5 linked regions of the Sus scrofa genome follow. The protein of the gene in region 1 purifies or fractionates together with the protein of each later gene. This does not show direct contact. Links are inferred from orthologs where the notes say so. Each region holds a gene or a part of one and is shown on either strand. Other genes may lie near its edges. The genes, in order: SRPK3, CCDC86, EBNA1BP2, FTSJ3 and SON.

Region 1 (4,648 bases):
CGCTGGTTGGACGAGCCCGAGAGGATGGAGCACGATGCAGGGGAGAAGAGGGAGCCTGAGAAGCCTGAGGTCTGCGAGCCGGGGCTGAGGCTGCGGTCGCCCCCAGGGGCAGGGGAGGAGGAGGCCGGAGAGGGACCGGGCCCGGCGCCCCCGGGGTGACAGCCTGAAGAGGAGGTGGAGCCGCTGCCCCCCTCCAGTCTCGAGCCAGAGTCTGGGGAGACGGGCGGAGGTGCTGTGTGAGCCGCTGCCCCGCGTCGCATGCCAGGCAGCTCTGCACCCCTCGGGCCCCTCACCCTCGGCCTGGGCTGCCGCCTCCATGGCCTCCAGCCTCTGCAGGTCCCGCAGCCGCTCCTCCAGCAGCCGCTTCTGCTGTTTCCTTTTGCGCCTCATCTTCTTCCTCTTGTTTTTCGACAGCTTGCCGCTCTGCTGTTAGAGCCGGGGTCACTCCGAGGCTCCTGTCTCCCATCCCCTGAGCAGCTCAAGCCTCTGCCCGCGGCCTGCAGGCCCCAGGGCTCCGTGGACACCAGCACGCGGTGCCGCCCCCTCCAGTCCACCCCTTGGCTCGGGCCCCTCACCCGCCTCCCGTCTCCCCGCCCGCCTTCCACCTGCCAGAGCTCAAGATTCGGGAGGAACCAACAGGGCTGCCCCTGGGCCCTCCCGGCCTTAGACGGCATCCTTCCTTCCGCTGGGGCAGTGGCAAGCCCAGCGGCTGCCCAGGGCAGTTTGGGGCGCGTGGAAAGAGCTGGGCCGCTCAGCTGGGGAGGGCGGACAAGCAGGAAAGGGTGGAACCAGAGAGGCTGAGAGAGTGAGCTCTCAGGACACGGGAAGATGAGGCCTAGGAGAAGAGGGGCGCCCAACTTACCAAGACTTCCTGGGGGGCAGTGCTGACTGTGGGGTGCAGCAGAGCGCGGGCCGAGAGAAAGGAACAGAGACTCAGGCAAGAGCTGAGGCCTGCAGGCCCCGGCCCGGCCCGCTGCAGGTTCTTGGTACCTGTGGAGCGGGAGGGGGGTGGTGCCCCTGACTGCTGCCACTCTGTGGCTTCGGCAGCCAGGCGCCTGATGTAGGCGTCACCCACGCACAGCAGGATGTTCTCGGGCTTGATGTCTGTGTGGATGATCTTGCACTTGGTGTGTAGGTAATCCAGACCGTGCAGCACCTGGGGAGAGCCGCTCCTGAGCGCCACCGGCCCCGCCCAGGCTGCCTCGCGGGCGGGGCGCCGGTCCTGCAGGACACATGCTGCCCACCTGCCTCACGATGCTCTTCACACAGGGCACGGGCAGGCCCTGGTAGTTGGACTTGATGATCCACTTGAGGAGCTGGTGGCCCAGCACCTCCAATACCATGCACACATCTGGGGCCAGGAGTCAAGGGCAGCCACCGGGCACGCGGAGCCCTGGTCCTGCCCCCCCCACCCCTTAGCTGCACTGCGGGGAGCCACAAGGCTCAGGCCGTGCAGAGCTGGGTCTGGAAAGTCCTGGCGACCACCTTCCCGGGGTCATTAGTGTCCCTGTCACTCGGCTGTGCCAGTTGGGAAAAGGCACTGGGCGGGGGGAGCCGGGCCCGTGGGTGCCAATGAGCCTGCACACAGACCCCCACGGAGCCAGCCCCTGCCACCTGTGGGTAATCCAGCAACGCCCCTGGGTAACGACCAACTGGGTTCTCGGCTCTCCCCCTGCGCGGAAACACGGTCCGCAAGGCAGTCCCTGGAGGGATGAACCCCCGTCATGCGGTTCAGGAAACCGAGGCCCTGGGAGCCGGGAAAGCTGCCCCGGGGCTCTGCTCAGCCTACAAAGGATACGAACTCCGTTCACCCCTGAGATCCGGAAGTCGTCGATGAGCTGGACAATGGTTTCTCTTTTGGGGTCACTGGGGTCACTGTCCCGCACCTGGAGCCAAAGCCGAGGGCCCAAAATGACTCCGACCCGCCCCTCACCAGCCACTGCCCGGCGGCTCCGCCCGGCCCCGCCCTCGTGCTCCGGCAGGTCCTCCCACTGCGCAGAGCCAGCTGGAGCCGGCCCTCCGGGAGCCCTGCCCGCCCGCCCGCCGAGCCGCCGAGCCGGCGGGCCTTGCACCCACATGGCCAGGCTCCGGCGGCTCCTGGGGAGCCGGGAGTGGGCAGGGGAGGCGCCTCACACATTTCAGGAGCTTGATCTCATCCACAGCTGTCTCCGTGTAGTGCCCCGCGCTCTTCACCACTTTGAGGGCCACGAAGCGCTTGCGCCTGCAACACCCAGAGCCGCGTGGGCTGCCGCTGCTGGCCGGACCCGTGGGGCCCTCGTGGCGGCCCCAGCCACAGCCGGGATCCCAGCTGGCCTTGAGCCCGGCGGGCGGGGGGGGGGCGGTGCGGAGGGGGCACTCACTGAATGTCCCAGCAGAGCCAGACGGTGGAGAAGTGGCCCCAGCCCAGCTTGCGCACCACGTGGTACCGCCCATTGAACAGGTCCCCGATCTTCACAGGGTAGTAGCCGCCTGGGGAAGGGAGCCCCTGGAGCACGGTGGGGGTGTCGCCTTCCCCTCTGCCCCGGGACGGCCCGGCCCTGCCCGCCCCCCAGCCACGCGGGCTGGCTCCGGCCCCTCCTCCCCCCGGGCCGCGCCAGGCCAGGCCTCACCCTTGCAGTAGTCCTTGGGGTCCTCCTGCTCCTCGTCGTCGGAGCCCAGCAGCCCCTGCAGCATCCGAGGCGCCGGTGTGGGGGGAGCTAGTTCGGATCCCGAGGACTCGGGCCCGCAGGAGGCCTGCGAGCTGGGGGTGAAGTGGGCGGGCCGTGAGCGCACGAGGTGCCAGAGGCCCCTGGCGCCCCGGCCCGAGCCTTACCTGCTGCTGCTGCTGCCGCCGCTGTCCCCGCCGCCGCCACCGCCCGTGCTGGCGCTCATCCCGGCGGCGCGGCCCGCAGCTCCGGCGCCCCGGGCGGCTGCTCCTGTGGGGCCCGGCCGCGGCCCGTGCATTTATAGCCTCGGCCGCTGATCTCACCCGCCTTTATAAATAGCCTCCCAGCTGCTCCGCTGTGGGCAAGGTATGCAGCGGGGAGGGGGCGGTGCGGTGACAGCGGGCCCCGGAGAGCCCGGCCCCCAGGACGAGCCCCCCTTCCCCAGGGGGCGCCACTGCCTGACCGGCAGGACCCAGCCTCCGCACGGAGTTCCCTCGCAGCCCAGGGCCCAGAGGGACACCCACAGCGGGACATGGGGACCCGGTCCCCAGGCTAAGCCCCTGCACCCCAGGGCTGGCAGAGGGGGCCACCAAGGGGCACTTGACAGTGACTCGGTCCTCGAGCAGTCCCGGCACTGCAGGGTCCGCTAGGGGGGACAGCCAAACAGGGGCACTGTGGACCTGGCAAACTGGTCCTCAGGCCAAGCCTGTACCCCTCTCACATGCCCTCGGGAACAGGTGACACTTCGGGAACATTCTCTGGCTTCCGGCTTGGCCCTCGCGGGAGCCTTCCCGGAGGCAATCTCTGCCATGCCCACGGGTACCGCATTCCCCGCTCACTTTCAGCCAGGTGCCCACTTTCCTGTCTTAGGAGTCAAGGACCCACCAGGGCTCTAGCACTATGGCCCTGTGTGGCTTCCCTCCCAGCTCCCTGGGGCCCGGGTCTGGCTCCACCCCGGGCCTGCCAACCCTGCCTGGCTCACTGTCCCCACCAACGTGTGTGTGCGCTCGGGAGGCGTAGGGAGCTGTGCACCCTGGCTCTCCCTTCGGGGGCCCTCCTCAAGCTCTCGTGGGCTGGTGACAGAGCGACGTCCAGGTCAGGCAGAGCCCTCCGGGGCTGCGACCTTGGGGCCGCATCCAAGGGACCAGAAAGGAGAACTGGGTCGCCAGAAAGGGGGTGGGGTTAGCCTCCAGGGAGGCAGCGGGACGGGCTGGAGATCTCGGTGGCTGGCCCTGGCTTACGAGTGGCTGCGGGTGGGGAAGACGAGCAGAGGTCTTGGGCCACCAAGGAGCCCCACCCAGAGCCCCTGGGCACAAGCGTGGCGTTCCGGCAGAGGCCAATGGACACTTTGGCTCTTCCGAAAGAACACTGGCTGCTCCCGGGACAGAATGGAGGGGGGAGGAGCTGGTGACTGTCAGGGGGTCAGGACGAAGCAGAGGGGCCTTGGCCGTGACTGGTCATCCCAAGATGGGAGACACTTGGTCCCACATCCTTGTGCCGAGAAAAGAACTGGGTAGGGGGGCATAGATGGGGGTCGGGGAGGGAGGAGAGTGATGGCTGCGGGTCCTCTTTTTCTCAGGCAGTGGAAGCCATCACCGGGGGAGGCGGGGCTAGGGAGTGTGCTTCTTCTAAAAAGACATACGTCTATTTTATTTCCAGACGTGAGGCTCCAGCAAGTACATAAATACAGTGGGGGAGGGGGAGGGAGAAGGATGGGTATAAATTAGAAAGAAGCAGGGCCGGGGGCGCGGGAGTTGGATGGTGAGGCGCCAGGAGCCCCTCCTACTCTCTGCCGGCCACTCGGGGGCCGCTGGCTCCATCCAGGGCTCTTCTGGGTGGCGGGTGGGCGGGAAAGCGCTGAGATGGCGGGTCCTCGGGTCCTGCCACTGCCCGAACTCACAGGTCGGTCACCTTGTTCTCCACCAGGGCGGCAATCTGCTGCAGGCGGCAGGCCAGTTGCATCTTCTGGCCCACAGGGTCCTCCTCCAGGGCACTGATGATCT
Region 2 (4,552 bases), on another chromosome or scaffold:
CGGATTCGTCAACCACTGAGCCACAATAGGAACTCCAAGAACGAACTACTTTCTGTTCTTACTTATCAACTTGTTCAGCTCAGTGCCTGCTGTGTGCTGGGCCAGGGAAATCTCACCATAGCAGAGAAACCCCACTCTCTGGTCTACAGGGAAGCTGGCAGCCAATAAGAACCACACACGTAAACAGGCATTTCTGCAAATGGGGGGGTGTCACAAAAGAGAAGTTCCACCCCATGATAACACAGCTTGAGGACTGAACCCTGCTTGGGCTGGACGAAGAGGGCTTTTCCCAGGGTAAGAGGGCTTTTCCCAGGGGGATATTTAATATTTAAATTTGCTATTTAAGCTGATCCCTGAAAGATGGGCAGGGACTAGTCAGGGGAAAAGCCTTGCAACAGAAGGAACAGCATGTGCAAAGGCCCTGAGCTGGGAGGGAGCATCACCTACAGCGGGGGACATGGCGGGAAGGGCGGTGGGGGAGGTTCTCAGTGATGGCAGAGGATGGCAGCGCAATTCCAAGGGAAGAAGGAAGTCGGGAAGGGTTTCAGCTCACGGTGGGATCTGGGACAAAATAGCCTCTTTCTCTCGCTGCTTGGGGTCTTCTGCCGACCCTCTCTTCTGGCCTGTGCATGGGTGCAGCCCCCTTTTGCTCAGAGAGCTCAACTTCCCCGCCCCCTCCGAGTACCAAGGCCCAGGGTCCCACACTCAACTTGCTCATCACCCTCTTTCCACTGAGCCAACCCCTTCATCTGGATCTGCATGGCCATCAGTGGCCTCACTGTTCTCTGGGACCTGCTGGGACCAAGGCGGAGGGGCCATGCCACCATCCACGTTTCTAAGTCCAACAGTCTAGAGTCTAGCTTCGAAGTCTCTGATTGGGGTCTTGTAGCAAATTATTCCCTCAATTTCAGTTTCTTCTCCGTTTAATGGGGGAGGAGGTGGGGGAGGGATTATACCTGCCTTGGGTTTCAGGGGTTCAACAACATAGCATCTGCAAAAGGCCTAGCCCAAAGCTTGACACACAGTCAACTCTTGGGAAATGTCTGCTTCTTCCTTAAAATCACTGCCTTCCCTGATGGTCCCTTCTGGCCATGAATTCCTGACTGCCCAGTGGTTCCCACTACCTAAAAATGTGAACTGGATCCCACCTCTCCTCTCCTCACTTCCCTCTTCAGCTGAGCCTCTTCATTCCTTCACTCAACAAGCATTTAATCAGGCACCTGCTGTCTGCCACAGAGAAAGACAAGCAAGACAAGACAAAATGTCATGCCTACCCTTTAGAAGGTTGTAATCCAATGCACAGCAGATCTACAGAGCACAGGTAAAGGGCTTCCATGCACGGACTCTGGAATCCAATCTGTGCTCGGCTTCTGCCTCTACCACTCATGCAGCCTCCTTGAGCCTTGGTGCCCTCGTATGTACAACGAGGATAATCCTAACAGCTTCATGGGGCTGATGTGCAGATTAAATGTCAAGATGCAGGAGTTTTCCTTGTGGGGCAGTGGGTTAGGGATTTGGCATTGTCACCACAGCGGCTTAAGTTGCTGCTGTGGCCCGGGTTTGATCCCTGGCCTGGGAGCTGCCGAAAGCTGCAGGCAAGTGAAGCCAAAAAAAAAGAAAAAAGAAAAAAAAGCCAAGATGCATGCTTCTACCATTTGAAAGGCCCTTCCCCTAACCAATCCTTACTAGAGGGCTTAGCAGCTTTCTATATTGTCAGTACTTGGTAATGCCTTTTATTAAAAAGGCAAAAAAATGTAACATAATGGTAAATACTGTTTTACTTGCTTCTGCCTCCTTATTAGAGAGGGCAGAGTCGAGGGTAAATGTGTGTTGAATGAACACACAGATGAGAAGAGGTCCACTGAGGGCATTCCTCCCCAACATCCCGGTGCATCTTACCACATTCTGATTATAATTACCTGTTTGTGTGACACCCCCACTTTTGTGAGCGCTCTCCAACCCAGGGGGCTATCCCCAGGTTGTGCCCAGGCCCAAGCACCACACAGAACCCCATGCCCGCCCAGGTGTCGCCTACTTCACCTCTTCTTTGAGCGGTCCTTCCACACTCGCCCAGACTTGGGCTTCCCCTTCGGGATAACAGGAACCTCCTCTTTCTTCTGCTTTTTGGACGCTGGGGCCTGGACTGAAGAACTTTCTCGCTTCTTTGGCCCGAGGACGTCTCTCCCCCTTTCCCTGGATGGAGCTGGCTTGCTTGGCTCGTTCTGATCCTGTGGGGAACCGGGTGACTGGAGTGGCAGCTCCTGCAGTGGCAGCTCCTGTAGTGGCTGCGAGGGCTCCAGATCCGGCGCTTGCTGACCGGGGTAAGGCTCTAGTGACCCTGGGCCCAACTGCAGCTGATGTTGGGGAGACTCCGGGGTCTGCTCCGCCTTACTCCCGGCCAACTCCGAATCCGCTTCTTGGTCCTGGGAGAACTTTGGTGACTCCCCATTTGGCTTTGACTGAAGTCCTGGGGTTTCAGGACTCGATTCCGGCTGCCTTTGGGAAGACTCCAGACCCGGATCTCGCTGACGCTGGGGGGACCCTGGGCCCGGCTCTGGCTGTCTCTGGGAGGACCCCAAGCCTGCCCCTTCCTGTAGACTGGGTGAAACTGGAGCTGTCTCTGACTGACGTCTGGGGGACCCCAAACCTGGTGGCTGCACATTCCGAGGAGACCCGGGCTCCCTCGCTTCTTCTGGGTGCGACTCGAGCTCCACAAGGGCCCGTCTCGCCTGCAAAACTGGGGTGGGGTTCTCGGGGGATTCAGGCTTTAGTCCTTCCAGCCGCCGACTGCGCCTGAGAGGTGTATCCATGGCACCGCCAGAGTTTCTAAATCCAAGCCCACGTGCAGCTTCTGGGACTCCCGGCGCCGTCCTATGACGTCAGGAGACGCCACGTCTGTGTAGGGCAGGAGGGGCTGTTGCTGCGGAGGCCATGTTGGTGATGGGCAGATAGGCGGGTACAGAGGAGTCCGGGGCGGGCGGGGCCTGGGTTTACTAGGCGCATGCGCAAAGCGTTTTGGCACGTTTACACGCGATTGATGAAGGAATGTCAGCTTCAGATCGGGGTTTGTCATTCCTGCGAACCCAGTCTCCGGGGAAAAAGAGTGTGCCGGTGGAGGAAGGAAAAGGGGTCCTGTTTTCGGGAGAGAAGAGGATTGGGAAAAGATCCAGGGAGCTCGTAGGCAAGGCTGGGTGAAAACTGCCAGTAACTCCTCTGCAGTTAGGGGTCCTACCCAGTTTGTGCCTCAGTTCTCTCATTTGTAACACGGGTGCTTTTACACTAGTTTAGTGTATATAAAATGATCCTGCCAAAGCATCCTGACTGCCAGGGTGAATGCTACTTGGCAGATCCTGAAGGTGGGAAATTTCTTAAGCCCAGTGTTAAAAGTAATCCTTGCTTTCTCTTCTCCCATCCTATGCCTAAATGTAAAATCGATGGCTCTCCTTTGCAACATTTTCAGCTTTCTGCATGAAGTTGGAGTATGGGTAAAATGCACCATCTGCGGCATGCCCAGGCCCTCAGCCCCTCTGCACACCTTTTCTGGTACCCCTTCTGCCCTAGTTCTAGAAACAGAGGTCGGATTGTCTCTGGGTTTTATTTCAGCCAAGACAGCGGTCCTTGCCCTAGTATGTGAACTTGTCTCCTCCCTCCTTTGCGTGACACCCAGTTGGGGGCTTTGAGTCACTCAGAGCAGACGCCTTTCTTAGGAAGAACATCTTGGCAGTTGCCCAAATGTACCCCAGCTCTTCCCTAGTGTATTTTTGGAACTTCCTGGGGATGGCGCTTAGGCATCCCAGGGTCCTGGTTCCGCTGTCCCAGCAGCTTCTTTTAGACACTATTGTTTCTTCAGCTGAGGGGTTATGCGTGGGCCTGGGAAGTTGTCCAGAGGTGCTCAGGGGGCAGAGGAGGAAGGCCAGGCAGACAGCCAGGGCCCTCAGCACTGAGCTCAGCTCCCACCTGCCGAGTCACTCTTCCAACTGTCAGATGGGGTGCAAGGTGACTTGACTGCTGATCAAGAGGAGATGAGGAGGAGGAAAACATAGGCAAGGTTCCTGGAGGATGGAAAAGTGGATTGAGGATCCTTTAAGACCTCTCACCCCTTGGCTGGTGCCACACGGCATCCACAACATATCTTGATGAATCTAGCGTTTTGAAATCCCAAGGGTACTTAAGGGTTAGGCGCTGGCTCTGCTACTCCACTACCCTTCCCTGTTGTCAGAAAGTTGCATCCCTGTGCTGTAATCCCGTGTCAGTCCCTCCCTTCCGGGCCACTTTCAGGGGCTCCACCCACAGGCTCAGTGCCCTCATGCCCCTTGCTCCTGGACCAAAGAAGCCTCTGCAAGGAGGCTATGTCTCGGTGCCCCAGCACAGCGGTGCAGGTCCCCACTGCAGAAGCAGCTCAAACGCTTCCTCACCCATGTCTTCCAACCCTCAATTCTCAGTTCCCTAATTCCCTGCCCCAGCCTGGAGGCTATGCCAAACCACACCGGGCAGGCGTTACCAGGGCTGTGGAGGAGATTACATGCCACTGCACTGCCCCACCCTGCCCCAG
Region 3 (4,576 bases), on another chromosome or scaffold:
ACAAGACGGTCCAAGGGGTGACCGCTTTGTCCCAGACACCGAAAGTCTCAGCCTTGGAGCCAGAACTTCAAAGCAACGGTCCTACCCAGCGTGCTGTTTGATCCATTAAACAAAACAGCCCGCCTGCTACTGTGCCAGGAAAGAAGACTTCTCTCCACTCATACGTCTACAAACTGTGGTTAAACTGGTGTGTGGCCTCGGCCCCCGTGCTCAATACACCACATACACAATAAAACCTCAAACAGCTATCAGGTACCTGGAGGTCTGCATTAAACATACACATTTTAGTTAAAGGATGAGCAGCTGCCAGTTTGAATGAGATCGGTCTGCGCTCACCTCCAGATTAGCTCCCCCGAGTACCACAGAGACAGGAGCTCCCCCAAATCCAGCTTGAGACCCGAGGGAACTATTTAAGTGTATCTTGGGTTAGGGGTTGGTAATTTTCTTCCTCCCAAAGTTGAGTGGGGAACCGAGATCTACCTAACTCCAAATTACACCAAATCTGAGCCGTATATTAATCCCTCATTTTCTCAAAGATAAAACTGAGGCCCAGAAAAAAGTTAACTGTCTACAAGTTACAGCCCGGCTCCCCAAGGAAAGGGCAGGAAAGAACTACTGTCGTTCACAGAGAACAGGCCTGTGGTTGTGGGATCAGCAGTTGCAAACTGTTATACAAAGTGGGTAAACCACAGGGTCCTATTGTAGAGCACAGGGAACTATACGCAGCATCCAGTAATAAACCGCAATGGAAAAGAATATGAAAATGTGCAACTGAGTCACTTCGCTGTACACAACACTGTAAATCGACTGTACTTAAATAAAACAAACCAAGAAAAAAAAGAACTGCTGTCTTTGCCACACACTATGCCATGACCGTGCCAGCCAGGAAACGCAAAAGGCCATCTTTACCTCAGGGACCGCACTTCTTCAAGGACCTTCCTCCCCTTTCCTAACTGTTTAACCTAGAAAAAAGTCATCCTTATATGTATCCAGTCGGTGGTCAACGGCATGAATCTGAAGTAGATAACAGATCATTTTCCTCTGACAAGTGGCTCCCTATTAATGGACTTAGGCCTGTGTTCATTTAAATACTAAATGAAATAAGCCAGCTGAGTGCACTTAAGCACAAAGCCTCAGTTTCCCAGAGAACACCTTCCCTGTTTCTCACCTTCTGCATCTGCTGATCGGTCTTGGCCATCTCTGCAAAATAGTCCGTGGGCCGCTTGGTAGGGACTTTGAGCTGATGGAGGCGGGGCAGTACCGCAAGCACTGCTGCCTGGGCCTGACGGTAGCTGAAGATACAGGACCAAGTGTGAGAGGCTAAGGGAGAGAGACCTGAAATCCTCCCCACTGTCTCTCATGAGTCACCTAAGGTCAGAGAGCCTCTCAACACCTGAGCTGCACCAGCAAGAACACACATGCAAACAGAAACAGCAATAAAACCTCACTAACTTTTTAGGAGAAATTTAGATGTACACTCTTTTTAAAGGGGGTGGGGATGAAGACTGTTACATTTGGATGGATGGGCAATGGGATCCTGCCATGTAGCACAGGGAACTATATCCAATCCCTTGTGATGGATCAGGATGGAGGATAACATGAGAAACAGAATTTCTATGCATGTCTAACAGGGTCACCTTGCTGTACAGAAGAAATTGGCAGAACATTGTAAATCAACTATATTATAAACAAATGCACAAATAAATAAAGGGGGTGGGGAGGACTGCTAAAAAGAAATTAGCCGTTTGAGAACGACCACTTTAGAAGAACCCATCAATTTACGAATTCCAATTACATATTCTTATTAAGTCACTAAAAAAAGCCCACAGGGACCGCCCATAAGGAAATTCTTATTCTAAAATCAATTGCACACACACAAAAAACTTTAAAACTGAATATCTGAACACACTGGACTTTAAGCTGTGACTGCTGGACCAAGGGGCTCTTCTCTCAACCAGGGAGACTCTCCTAGCTCTTTGGTCCAAAGAAGCCCTCCTCCCGGCTCCCAGGGTTAGGAAATCCCTACTGGCTCACGGCCTCCCCCCTCCTCACTCTCCAGCACGTTCTCGGGGACCCACAACCTCTGCCACTTGAAAACAGACGTACAAGCTCATCTCACGCTGGAAGTCGTCTTCTGGATCAACAGCTTTCGGATCCTTGCTCTGGGAGGCTGACTGAGGGGCAGTGACTTCCGGCACCGGACCCAGGGTCACGTCGAGCCTTTCAACCCACTCCAGATCCCGCTTAAATTCGCCCAGACACTGCTTCAGGCCATTCTAGGAAATCCAGACACGAAGCTCACAGGGAGGAAACAGGCCAACAAACCAAGCGTTAGCCCTCGAGACCCCGACAGGTCGTGGACCCCCCTGGCAATGCGCAGGCTGCGTCTTCTCTGGGACTAGAACGCAGTCTCCCGGGCACAACCGTGCCTCGTGCGCACCCCACGCCCAGCCCCTCCCGCCCGGCGCCCGAGCTCACCACGTCGTTCACGGCCTTCTTCGGCCCCTCTAACACCACGTTGAGGCCTGGCTTCAAGAGGCCCCGGGAAAACGCGTCCTGCAACTACAGGCACGACCGGCAGTCAGTACCGGAGAACCAGGACCCCTCTCCCGTGCGCAGCCCAGCAAGCTCGGCGGACACCTACCTCTCGGTCGGTGACCAGAGAGTCATCAGAATCGGAATCCGAACCTGAGAGCGGGGGAGTATCCATCTCGCAAAGCGCACGTCCACACCCGCCGGAGGAGGCAGCGGAGCCCTAGGTCTCCGCGGCTACAAAAGGGTGCCCCTCGCCGCCGCCGCCGCCTCCGGCTGTCCGGCCGCTGCCCGCCCACCGCAGCTCCACGTGTATCCGAACACCACCAGGGCCCTCAACTCCCCGCCGCCACTCAACCCTCTGAGCGGGACTTCCGCTTCCAGCCGAAGACACACTTCCGGTTTGCCGTCGCTATAGGAACCGCTCCGGCGTCGGAAAGTGCGGGGCTGCTTAGGATCCCTGGGTAGTACCCTGCATCCACGAGCGGTCTGGTGATCCGCAGAGCAGAAGCGACAGGTGGGACGGGGCTCTGGGGATCGTCCGGAACAGGGAGCCGCGAAGGCAAAGGAAAGAGGAGAAGCAGGAGCCGGGTCGAGGGCGCGGAAGGAGGCTGCTGAAGGGAGGTGGGCGGAGAAGGCCCTGGGGGCGGGGTCTGGCTCAGGGGCGGGGTCAGGGGCGGGGTCAGAGGCGCGTCGCGGGGGCGGGGGGCGGGGGGGCGGGGGGGGCTCGGTGGGGGGTGACGCGTGTCTCCGAGCTCCCCACCTGCGCTTCATCTTCAGCAGAACTCTTTACCCGGGACCATGTCCACCGTGGTAGCTCAGTCGCTGCATGTTTTTGGTTTTCGATCCCACGTGGCCAACAATGTCTTCTTCTTCGATGAACAGATCATCATATTTCCTTCAGGAAATCATTGTGTGAAATACAATGTGGATCAAAAGTGGCAAAAATTCATTCCAGGTAAAACACTTTCCAGTCTGACATACGTAACCATGTGTGCCAAATATAATCCCATAATCCCATCCCGACGATTGAGAAGGAAACCTCTTTGACCAACTTGGGATATACCTGTGGTTTTATAAATGTGAAAGAAATATGGGTCTACGTGCCTTATTTGATGTATAGATTAATGAGTCGCACATACACAGCTAAGATTACATGTAAAATCATGTTAATATTAATGCACTTTTTAAACTGTGATTTAATGAAAGAAATATTTGGAAGAGTTTCATGCATCTTCAATATCGCTGTCTTTGAGTTTTACAACAGTTTTCCAGAGTACACCACTTTCATTACAGCACCTTTTGAGTCTATGTGTGATGACGACCCTGGAGGTTTTATCCCAAATCACAAATAACCATCCCTGGTGTGTTCACAGTGGTCCTGCTATTGATTTCCGTGGTTTCCACCATTTAACCACCTGCTCTTTTTCCGACTCCTTTTTTGCATGCAGCAGGTCTTATTGTGACAAATGCGTACAAAAGACTTTTGCGTACAAAAGATCTTTGAGCCTGCCCGTAGGATAGGAAACAGAACATTACCAGTTCCAGCGTTTCTCCCTGATTGCATTCTTCCCACGTGCATGCCCACTCTCACCCCACCCTGGACTTTGCTATTATTCCCTTATTCCTCTGTGTAGTTTTACACGCCTATCTGTGTGGCTTTAGGTAAGATGCCGCTTTTTTTAGTCTGTGCTGTTTGCCAACTTTATTTACATGTAATCATAGTGTATGTATTCTGTGACTCGCTTCTTTTGCTCAACAGTATGCTTTTGAAATTCATGCATCTCGATACATATTAACTGCGTTTATATTATTACTGTACAGCATTCTGTCATATGACTCTAGTATCTCAAACGTATTTATCCATCCTAGTGTCGATGGCCATTTCAGAACCAGCATTTGTCACTGTTACTAACCACGCTGCTACAAACATTCTTGCCTTCATGTGTACGCATCTCCTTGTGCAAAGATGCTCCAGGACATGCACCAGGGCTGAAATTACTGGCTCACGTGGTAGCACCAATCCACACTCCACCAAAAGGCC
Region 4 (3,970 bases), on another chromosome or scaffold:
CAGCTCAGGGCATCGCCAGATCCTTAACCCACCGAGCGAGGCCAGGGATCGAACCGCAACCTCATGGTTCCTAGTCAGATTCGTTAACCACTGTGCCACAATGGGAACTCCTACTCAGTATTTTTTAAATTCCCCATCTACCGGCAAGGTTGAAGACCCCCAACTTAGCAACGATTAGAACCACTGCTCCTCTTCATCCCTTCTCCCGTCAGCTGCAACCACTCACGTGTCTTCATCCTCACTGCTGCTGCTGTCGCTGTCAGAGCTGCTATCTCTGGCTTCCCCGCCAGGGCCTGTGGCAGCCTCTGTCCCTGAAGGAGCCCCTGCCCCTTCAGGGGCCTCACCCTGGCATGGGGGTGGTTTTCTCTCAGTCTTCACGCTGGAAGGTGCTGGCAGTGGCTGCTGCCCCTTGCGACGGCTCTCGTACAACAGCTGTGCCTGGCTGATCTCCAGGGCCTCGTCAGCATCATCCTCGATCCCGCTGAAGCCATCCTGTGGTGGCAAAAACGTCAGACACCCCCTGCCCTGAGGACGCCAGTCCCGGCCATCCTGGCACCCAGCTGCTGCTTGCCTTTGAGAACCACAGGCTGGCTTGTTCTTCCTGCAGTACCGCCTTTTCCTCGAGTGGCACCAGCAGCGGGTTCTCTCCCTCCTCCTCTTTCTCATCATTTGCTTCAGCAAGTCGTACACTGTAGACCGGAGGCAAACAGGTGCAGAGTCAGCGCCCTGGAGGACTTGCTCCCCCACTCCAGCCCCCACACCCGCCACCAGCTCTGCTTCTGGGCTCGGGCTGAGGGGGGTGAGGACTCCCTCCTGCAATAACCCCCTCACCTCCCTTACCGCTTTTGGTCCTTTAGACCTTGAGGTTCTCTGACTCCTGCTAGGTCCTCTGGATCCAGGTCACTATCCAGAGATGCACTGTCGTCGTCGTCCTCCTCAGCGTCTGATATGTAGATGTCATCACTTGGCAGGTCAGACAGAAACGTGTCTGCAGCACTCATGTCCCCTTGCGTCACCTCCTCTAACAACTGAGACACAGTGGTCAAAGGAGCTGACAAGGACTTCCTGCCTCCCTCCCCATCCATCTTATCTTAGTTTATCCTTGGGAACACTAGGAAATACACTGGCGAGTACAGTACCTTCTCTTACAGACAGGGAAGTGATGGGGTTAAACTGTTTAAAACATCCCATTCTAGGAGTTCCTGTCATGGCACAGCAGAAACAAATCTGACTAGGAACCATGAGGTTGTGCGTTCGACCCCTGGCCTCGCTCACTTGGTTAAGGATCCGGCGTGGTGTAGGTCGCGGATGCGGCTCAGATCTGGCGTGGCTCTGGCATAGGTGGGCAGCTGTAGCTCTGATTAGACCCTAGTCTGGGAACCTCCATGTGCTGTGGGTACGGCCCTAAAAAGACCAAAAAAAAAAAAAAAATCCCGTTCTAGGCCAGGTCACTCAGCTCTCTTCTGTACCAGTAGCAGAAAAAAAGTTTATGAAAAAGTGCCCCATGGCCTAGTGTCAAACTTTAAAATGTCCTAAAACACTGATTTTTTTAAAAAATTTACTTGCAGAAGGCACTATAATAATCTACAGTTCTTGTTTCTACCGAATAAAAGAGCCCATGCAACATACATCTAACAGGAGGTACCATTTCACTTATAAGCCAGTTGTCAACTCCAAAAATCCATTTTCCTCATGGTAAAGATAGCTACTCTTTGAGTCACATACCAGGGTTCCACCTAATCATCTTTTTATATTCCTTCCAAAAATCCTAGTAGGTAGGTTCTATTAATTCTTTTACAGATGAAAAATCTGAGGCAGAGCATGTAAGTGCTTTATTGCCACTGCTGTGGAGCAAGTCGACCTGGTTAGTACCTTCCCACACAAGAGCCACGAAAGCGCATCTTGTTGGTGAGGTTGCTTTTATCAGGAAAAACAGATTCTCCGCTATTTAGCAGCCAGCACCATCTCGCAGCCTAGTGCAGCACAGTGCTACCTGGGTTCAGCGAGCTGAAGGCCGCTTCCTCTGAGGGAAAGCCTCCATCACACATGCTGGGAGCCAGGCCCCTGGCTGCATCTCCCATAAGCTGAGCTTCCTCCAACAAGTGGCCTTGGTTATGGTAATGCACTAGTCCCACAAGGCCGCAGCTCTAGCACACCCAAACCTTCCTACATTCAGCATTCTAAGTGTGGGTTCCTTCCTGGCCTGTGGGACCAAAGCTCTTGTTTATTCCCAGTTGCCCTGGCCAAGTCGTCTTCTGGGTGCAGACAGCCATGAGCCATGACCCCACGGCACCCTCACCAAGGCCCCCCGCTCACCTGGTGACCCCGGATGGTGCGCAGGGAGAACATGCCAGTCTCCCCCTCATCGGCGATGGAAACTCCAGGAAGATCCATCTTCAGCTCCACACGCTCCCGCTGCTTCCTCTGCTCGCGCAGCAGCTTCTTTTTCTTCCTGAGGGGAAGGTTCGAGGAATTAAAGCTGCCCAGCTCTGGAGTGTCCCTTCACCCCTCCCCCGCCTTCACGCCCCAAGGGGCTCTGCCATGGGGCTCCCCCAGCTCCTCTCACCTCTTTAACTCCGCCACCTCCTGGGCCTTCATCTCTGCCAGGGTCCGGTTGAGCTGCTCCTCCTCCTCCTCCTCCTTAGAGGGCTGCTGCGAGGCCCGGGCCGCCTGCTCCTCCTCCTCCCCTTCCTCTTCCTCCCCTGAGCTGAGGCTGACAGAACAGGCCCAGGACTTGGTCATTTTCCCAGACGCTTCCCCCAACACCCAGTCAACACCTGCCCTGGCTTAGCTCCCTCCTCACCTGATGTCCATTGCCTTTGCTTGTTCTTTCAGCTTCTTGGCCACATGTCGCCGAAGCTTCGTCCTCCAGTTCAGTAGGGATCTGCCCCAGAAATACCATTCCTGACCTTACCGTCTCCCTCTTGTCCCCACCGCTGCCTCATACCCCAAAGTTTACATTGGAGCCACATACATCGTAGGGCTCAGACCCTTACCCCAAACCTCTAGCACAGCAGCATCCTGTTCCCAGAGACCCAATGTCAAGACCCTCAAAGGCCCTCCCTGCCTCTGGATCCCAGCACCTACAGCTGCCCCCCGGCGTGTACCTAAGCTCCTTGCGGCCCAGCACTCTGATATCCTGACAGCATGCCCGTACATCCTCGGTGGTGGCTGGATGCCGTGCCAACTCTTCATCATCTATTGCAATCTGTTGGGGAGAAGGAAAAGGAGTTGGGAGACGCTAGGCCATGTTTCTGGGACTCCCTCATACCCCCCAAGTCTGGGGACTCACTTCGCTGGCTTTGGAGAGAAAGTCGACAGGGTTGGCAGCTCGGAGGAAGTCAGTGACTGAGGTTCGGTGATAGAGAGTGAGGTCACCCTCGGCATAGCCTTCAGCCTTGGAAGGGAAAGAAAGAAGGTGAGCGGTCCCTACTGGGGTATCTGAGGACTCGGGCCCAACCGCCCCAGAGTTCCAGGTCCTCGGGGTGGCCCCACTCCCCAAACACACCTTTGGCTTCTTCTTAGTCACCAACTCGGTAACAGTCTTGGCCTGAATTTCAACCTCCTTGAAGGCAAACTTGGGGTCAAAGAATTTACTGTCAACCTTGTCAGGCGCCAGGAATCCTAAGACAATAAGATATGTAAGAACAGGCGCTGTGGCAGGTGAAAACTGAGTCAAGAGATTGAAGTAATGCTCACCCTGGCAGACCACAAAAATCTCTGCAGATTCATGACGAGACGCTTGGGGCTTAGTGGCCTGGACACGGCGGAAGAGCTGCTGGAAGATCCACAGTAAGGGCTGATAATCACGAGAACGGAAAACCTTCGTGATGAAGCAGCCACCGCGACCCAGAAAATCGCAAGCCAAACGCAGAGCCATCAGGGTCAAATGGGCTGTGGGAGAGAGAGACAGTTCGCTGAGGATCTCTGCAGCCCGGAAGGGTGTGCCCCCCCACCACCAGCATCCCCA
Region 5 (4,028 bases), on another chromosome or scaffold:
CCAGAAAATAAAACACCACATTTATTCCAGAGAAGTTTATATTTGGGCCTTAAGCTTTTGAAAATAAAGTTTAGAGACATAGCATATGAATACCACTGTAATACACATGAAATATTCTATCAGACCCTAAAAATTAACATAAACTTAAACTTTCTCATAGTCAACAAAATAGTGGCTGGGTGCCGATTTTATTAGATAAGATGGTTACAGCATTTTAATTATCATTTTACGTCTACCTAGGTGTAGCTGAAATTCAAAATGCACATCAAAGTAAGACTATATCACAACTCAATGCCATACTAAATGTACTTGGCCTCTGCAGTAGAATTCTAGTCAGACTTCATTTGGACTCCCTTCTCATTCATGGCCCAAGTGGCTTTGACAGAAACGCAGGACTTAGTGCTGATCATCACACAACATACCACTTCCTTTTTTTTTTTCTTTTTTTTCTTTTTTCTTTTTACAACCTCTACAAAATTTTAAAGGGGAGATGGTGGCATTAGCCCTGTGGAACAGATCTTGCTTGATTACCTCAATAACACTGGCCCAGTATCTGTCCAGCAGAACCCATTGGGAACTAGTACAAGGTGCACAGCCCTTCACTGATTACAGGCAAGTGTTACAGCAGCCTAGCCATAAGGAAGGGGAGTTACATCATAGTACAAAATACAGTATAAAAGCGTTATTTAACATTCCACACTGAAGATTACGGATGCCTTCAAACAATCGTTTGGATGTTAGCCACTTAAACAAATACATCACTAAGGTAAACAATATAAACATACCAAAACCCTGTATGGTTAAATACAATTTCCATGGTACAAAAATCAAAGCCTGGAGATGTTTGTACAGATTGCTTTTTACACAATGTCTTAAATTGCCAAATATTTACAACATTAAAGAGGAAATACATTTTGATGCAGAGTAAAATTATCTGAAATGATTAATATAAAACCTCAATCTATCTACGTGAGGCACTCCTGAAGCAAGTGGCATTAGCCATGAGGTCCTTTGGTACAAGGCCCATTGCTTGAAGAACCACAGTAGCTGCTGTGGCTTTAGCATGCTTCTTATTAGGGCTGGCAAAGCTGGGCTGGTAAGCGCTTCCATTTATCAATACCTATTCAAGAAAAACATACAATTGGGCTGGTAAGGGCTTCCATTTCTCAATACCTATTCAAGAAAAACATACAATAAGAACAGCATCAAACTTTAATATCTATTAGCTTTGTATTTTTTTCACTAAATGCTAGAAAAGTAATTTACAAAAATATAACACCCATACTATGTAATAAAGCAAATTAATCTCAACCCCCAAAGAAGCAAATCATTTCGGAAAAGAGACTGCAAATTAAGTGCAGGTCTCCAAATTGAAGGGGTGGGGGGAAAAGCCTGATAAAAACTGCTTAATTCCCCCCATGTTCCACTAGAAAGGATTAACAAATTATTCATCAAATTTTGCCCACATCTTTCCCTCCAACATTTTTTTAAAAAAATCAACAGGTCATTTTTTAAAATGCCACCACTCTACCCACACATATACACATTCCCAACCCGCAAACATTAATCCTGTGATCATATGATGCTTACCCCTCACCCTCTAACATTAAGTCATAAAACTAGTATAGAATTAATGCAGAAATTCATATTTACCCTAAAGAGAAAATGTTTGCGATGATCAGGGCCACTATCATGGACCAGAAGAAATTCAGGTGGTTGCCACCTTCTCTTATTACAGATTTCCATCAAGGCAGACACAGGATGTTTGCCTATACAGAAGAAAAAAAACGGTTATTAATTATCTCCACACCTGTGGCAACAAATTATGAATTCAAAGAGTGGGTGGGACAGGAGGATATTCAAAAGTGTACTCTCACCTGACAGATCTTTCATGGCAGCAGAGAAGTTTCCAGACCTCTTTTGTGCTCTTTCTCCTACTGCAACAAGACCTTAAAAAAAAGAAATTCAATTTATTCATTGAACATTTATGCAATGTTCACTGAATGAATCTCGAACCAGCATTTAAAACTGTAATAAGGCAAAACAACCACTCCCTCTATGTAGGAACCTGAACTGGTTCCATGGCTTCAAATACAATATTTAACACCCACCACTACCCTTGACTTCTATATAAACCTTGATTTCTATTTTGCCCTTTCAATATATAAATCTCTATTTTGTATTCATAGATCTCAATATTGGAAACTGCAAAATTAAAATGTTCCAAAAATACAAGAATTTAATATGTGAACACACATATAAATTGTCATAATTATCAACAACTGTGGGTCTGTTTCTTTGCAAGTTTAAATACTGGTGGCTATTTGCAGATGATTTCTAAAGGTTTTCCATCCCTTTAAAAAAAAAAAAATGAGGCTTAGTTTAAAAGTATGTTCTCCAAAAGGTGAGGATTTTAGACCAAAACAAAGTTTAAAAAAGCAAGAAACGCTCTCTAATGGGTAAATGGACCCGTTTTTTTCTCGGGAAACAAGCCCTTTCTGACTTCAGATATGAGATGTACTCAAGAGACAGACTCAGCCTCACTTTCCAAAAGAAGTTTAGCTCTATTACCATCCAACAAGTAATACTTTCCATTTATCTTAGGGTGAATTCTTCAACCAGTTCTTTGCCAATTCTGCCACTATGCTTTCCCAAACCTAGGCCAACATGGATGCAACACTGCACAATTCCAAAAAGACTACTGCCTCAAATTACGCAATGCATCCAGATGTTTTTTTCCAATAAACCCCAAAGAATCCATTCAACTTATATAAAGCAGTATAACGTCAATGTGACAATCAGTACAGTGTCTTTTCCTAATTTAATAGTTTGAAGTAATGCCACATTAGGATGTTCTTGTGCTATTTCCAGCCTGCTTTTGATTATCAGGATTACAATGAATTCCCTCCAAATGGAATAAAATGGCAACACAGTATTCTTTGTGGGTGACAATGTAGAAATTCTAATAACAAAACCTTTTAAAAAATACATAATTTGGTCCGGGATAGTGGGTGTCCAAATCCATTAGGACAGCAATTTAATTGTAATCAAAGTTAAACTGAGGTTAATGCAAAGACAAGGAAAACAAATTCTAGTTTTAAATTTTCCAGTATTTAAAAAGCAGGCTTAAACAGGCAGCCCAAGTGATTCTACCGGGGACCTTATTCCAAGGGAAGAAATGAAACAACTATCAGCAGTTGGTTTATTACTCTCTAGTCCCAACCCAACAGAACTCAATTACTGAGCTCAAAAAAAGGGACATGCAAAAAGGGTTTTGAAAATGAAGACTAAACAGCACTCTCTAATAGGAAATGAGATTCAAATCCTAGAACCAAAGACAAGCATACGTTCCTTCCCTGTCAGGGGAAAACAAATGGTAAATTCCATTTTTGAAACATGAAATCTAACTGAAAGTTAAATCATATACTGCACACAACAAAGGTTGCCCTTGAAGCTCAAATTAGTGTTTCCAGCTGTATAAGCTTCTGAAAATGGGGGAAACTTTTTTTCCTAACCAAGAGCTTGGTATATACTGTAAGGAGTGCCTCCAGTTCCAGGTCACTGATAGCAAAAGAATATTTATAACAGTAATGAAACCCTAAATGGTAAAGGACATATTAAAAAACATTCTAAAAACTTACCTTTTCGGTCTGTTTTAAAGTCAACTAGGATAGGTTCCTTATTTCCTTCTTTGTTTTTTCCTAATCCTTCTCCTTCTCTCCAGCCCATTTTTCTCATCAAAACCGCTCCCATTCCTCCAGTTACTGGGGCTGCTCTTAAGAATTGATCCTATCCGAAGAAAGAAAGGTAAAATATCCGCATTTTATAGTTAGAATTTGACTACAAACTCAGTGTAACTTTTTCAAAAAAAAATCTTATTTTACTTCTATATCTGTTGTAGCAATTAAATGCTTCTATACCTGTATACATACTGTAGTGTGTATGTTCTAATTATTTTCACATAAACATAACAGTATTTTGAAAGGCAAATAAATGGCAGTTTTAAAACAGTGGTCCTTGTGCCCCCG

What was found.
Region 2: the proteins of SRPK3 (region 1) and CCDC86 purify together in Homo sapiens (affinity purification with mass spectrometry; 3 studies listed by BioGRID and IntAct, with this or other methods). This does not show direct contact. The link is inferred for Sus scrofa from reciprocal best matches to the Homo sapiens genes SRPK3 and CCDC86.
Region 3: the proteins of SRPK3 (region 1) and EBNA1BP2 purify together in Homo sapiens (affinity purification with mass spectrometry; 3 studies listed by BioGRID and IntAct, with this or other methods). This does not show direct contact. The link is inferred for Sus scrofa from reciprocal best matches to the Homo sapiens genes SRPK3 and EBNA1BP2.
Region 4: the proteins of SRPK3 (region 1) and FTSJ3 purify together in Homo sapiens (affinity purification with mass spectrometry; 3 studies listed by BioGRID and IntAct, with this or other methods). This does not show direct contact. The link is inferred for Sus scrofa from reciprocal best matches to the Homo sapiens genes SRPK3 and FTSJ3.
Region 5: the proteins of SRPK3 (region 1) and SON purify together in Homo sapiens (affinity purification with mass spectrometry; 3 studies listed by BioGRID and IntAct, with this or other methods). This does not show direct contact. The link is inferred for Sus scrofa from reciprocal best matches to the Homo sapiens genes SRPK3 and SON.

The regions. Positions count from the first base shown.
Region 1 is NC_010461.5:124,522,396-124,527,043, reverse strand, and holds the start of SRPK3 (SRSF protein kinase 3), read right to left. Parts: upstream 2,943-4,648; 5' UTR 2,872-2,942; coding exon 2,813-2,871; intron 2,741-2,812; coding exon 2,610-2,740; intron 2,470-2,609; coding exon 2,361-2,469; intron 2,222-2,360; coding exon 2,134-2,221; intron 1,887-2,133; coding exon 1,799-1,886; intron 1,352-1,798; coding exon 1,245-1,351; intron 1,157-1,244; coding exon 991-1,156; intron 889-990; coding exon 863-888; intron 427-862; coding exon 294-426; intron 212-293; coding exon 1-211. Other genes in the region: PLXNB3 (plexin-B3), read right to left, coding at 4,542-4,646. UniProt on the Homo sapiens protein: Serine/arginine-rich protein-specific kinase which specifically phosphorylates its substrates at serine residues located in regions rich in arginine/serine dipeptides, known as RS domains.
Region 2 is NC_010444.4:10,903,245-10,907,796, forward strand, and holds the start of CCDC86 (coiled-coil domain-containing protein 86), read right to left. Parts: upstream 2,953-4,552; 5' UTR 2,811-2,952; coding exon 2,041-2,810; intron 1-2,040.
Region 3 is NC_010448.4:168,048,021-168,052,596, reverse strand, and holds the start of EBNA1BP2 (probable rRNA-processing protein EBP2), read right to left. Parts: upstream 3,112-4,576; 5' UTR 2,711-3,111; coding exon 2,645-2,710; intron 2,563-2,644; coding exon 2,479-2,562; intron 2,277-2,478; coding exon 2,107-2,276; intron 1,293-2,106; coding exon 1,169-1,292; intron 1-1,168. UniProt on the Homo sapiens protein: Required for the processing of the 27S pre-rRNA.
Region 4 is NC_010454.4:15,108,466-15,112,435, reverse strand, and holds part of FTSJ3 (pre-rRNA processing protein FTSJ3), read right to left. Parts: intron 3,895-3,970; coding exon 3,700-3,894; intron 3,625-3,699; coding exon 3,509-3,624; intron 3,398-3,508; coding exon 3,293-3,397; intron 3,209-3,292; coding exon 3,108-3,208; intron 2,885-3,107; coding exon 2,804-2,884; intron 2,714-2,803; coding exon 2,567-2,713; intron 2,453-2,566; coding exon 2,317-2,452; intron 1,029-2,316; coding exon 841-1,028; intron 690-840; coding exon 572-689; intron 493-571; coding exon 227-492; intron 1-226.
Region 5 is NC_010455.5:197,189,391-197,193,418, reverse strand, and holds the end of SON (protein SON), read right to left. Parts: exon of another isoform or gene 3,790-4,028; coding exon 3,642-3,789; intron 1,950-3,641; coding exon 1,878-1,949; intron 1,770-1,877; coding exon 1,654-1,769; intron 1,174-1,653; coding exon of another isoform or gene 1,121-1,173; coding exon 962-1,120; 3' UTR 2-961; downstream 1-1. UniProt on the Homo sapiens protein: RNA-binding protein that acts as a mRNA splicing cofactor by promoting efficient splicing of transcripts that possess weak splice sites.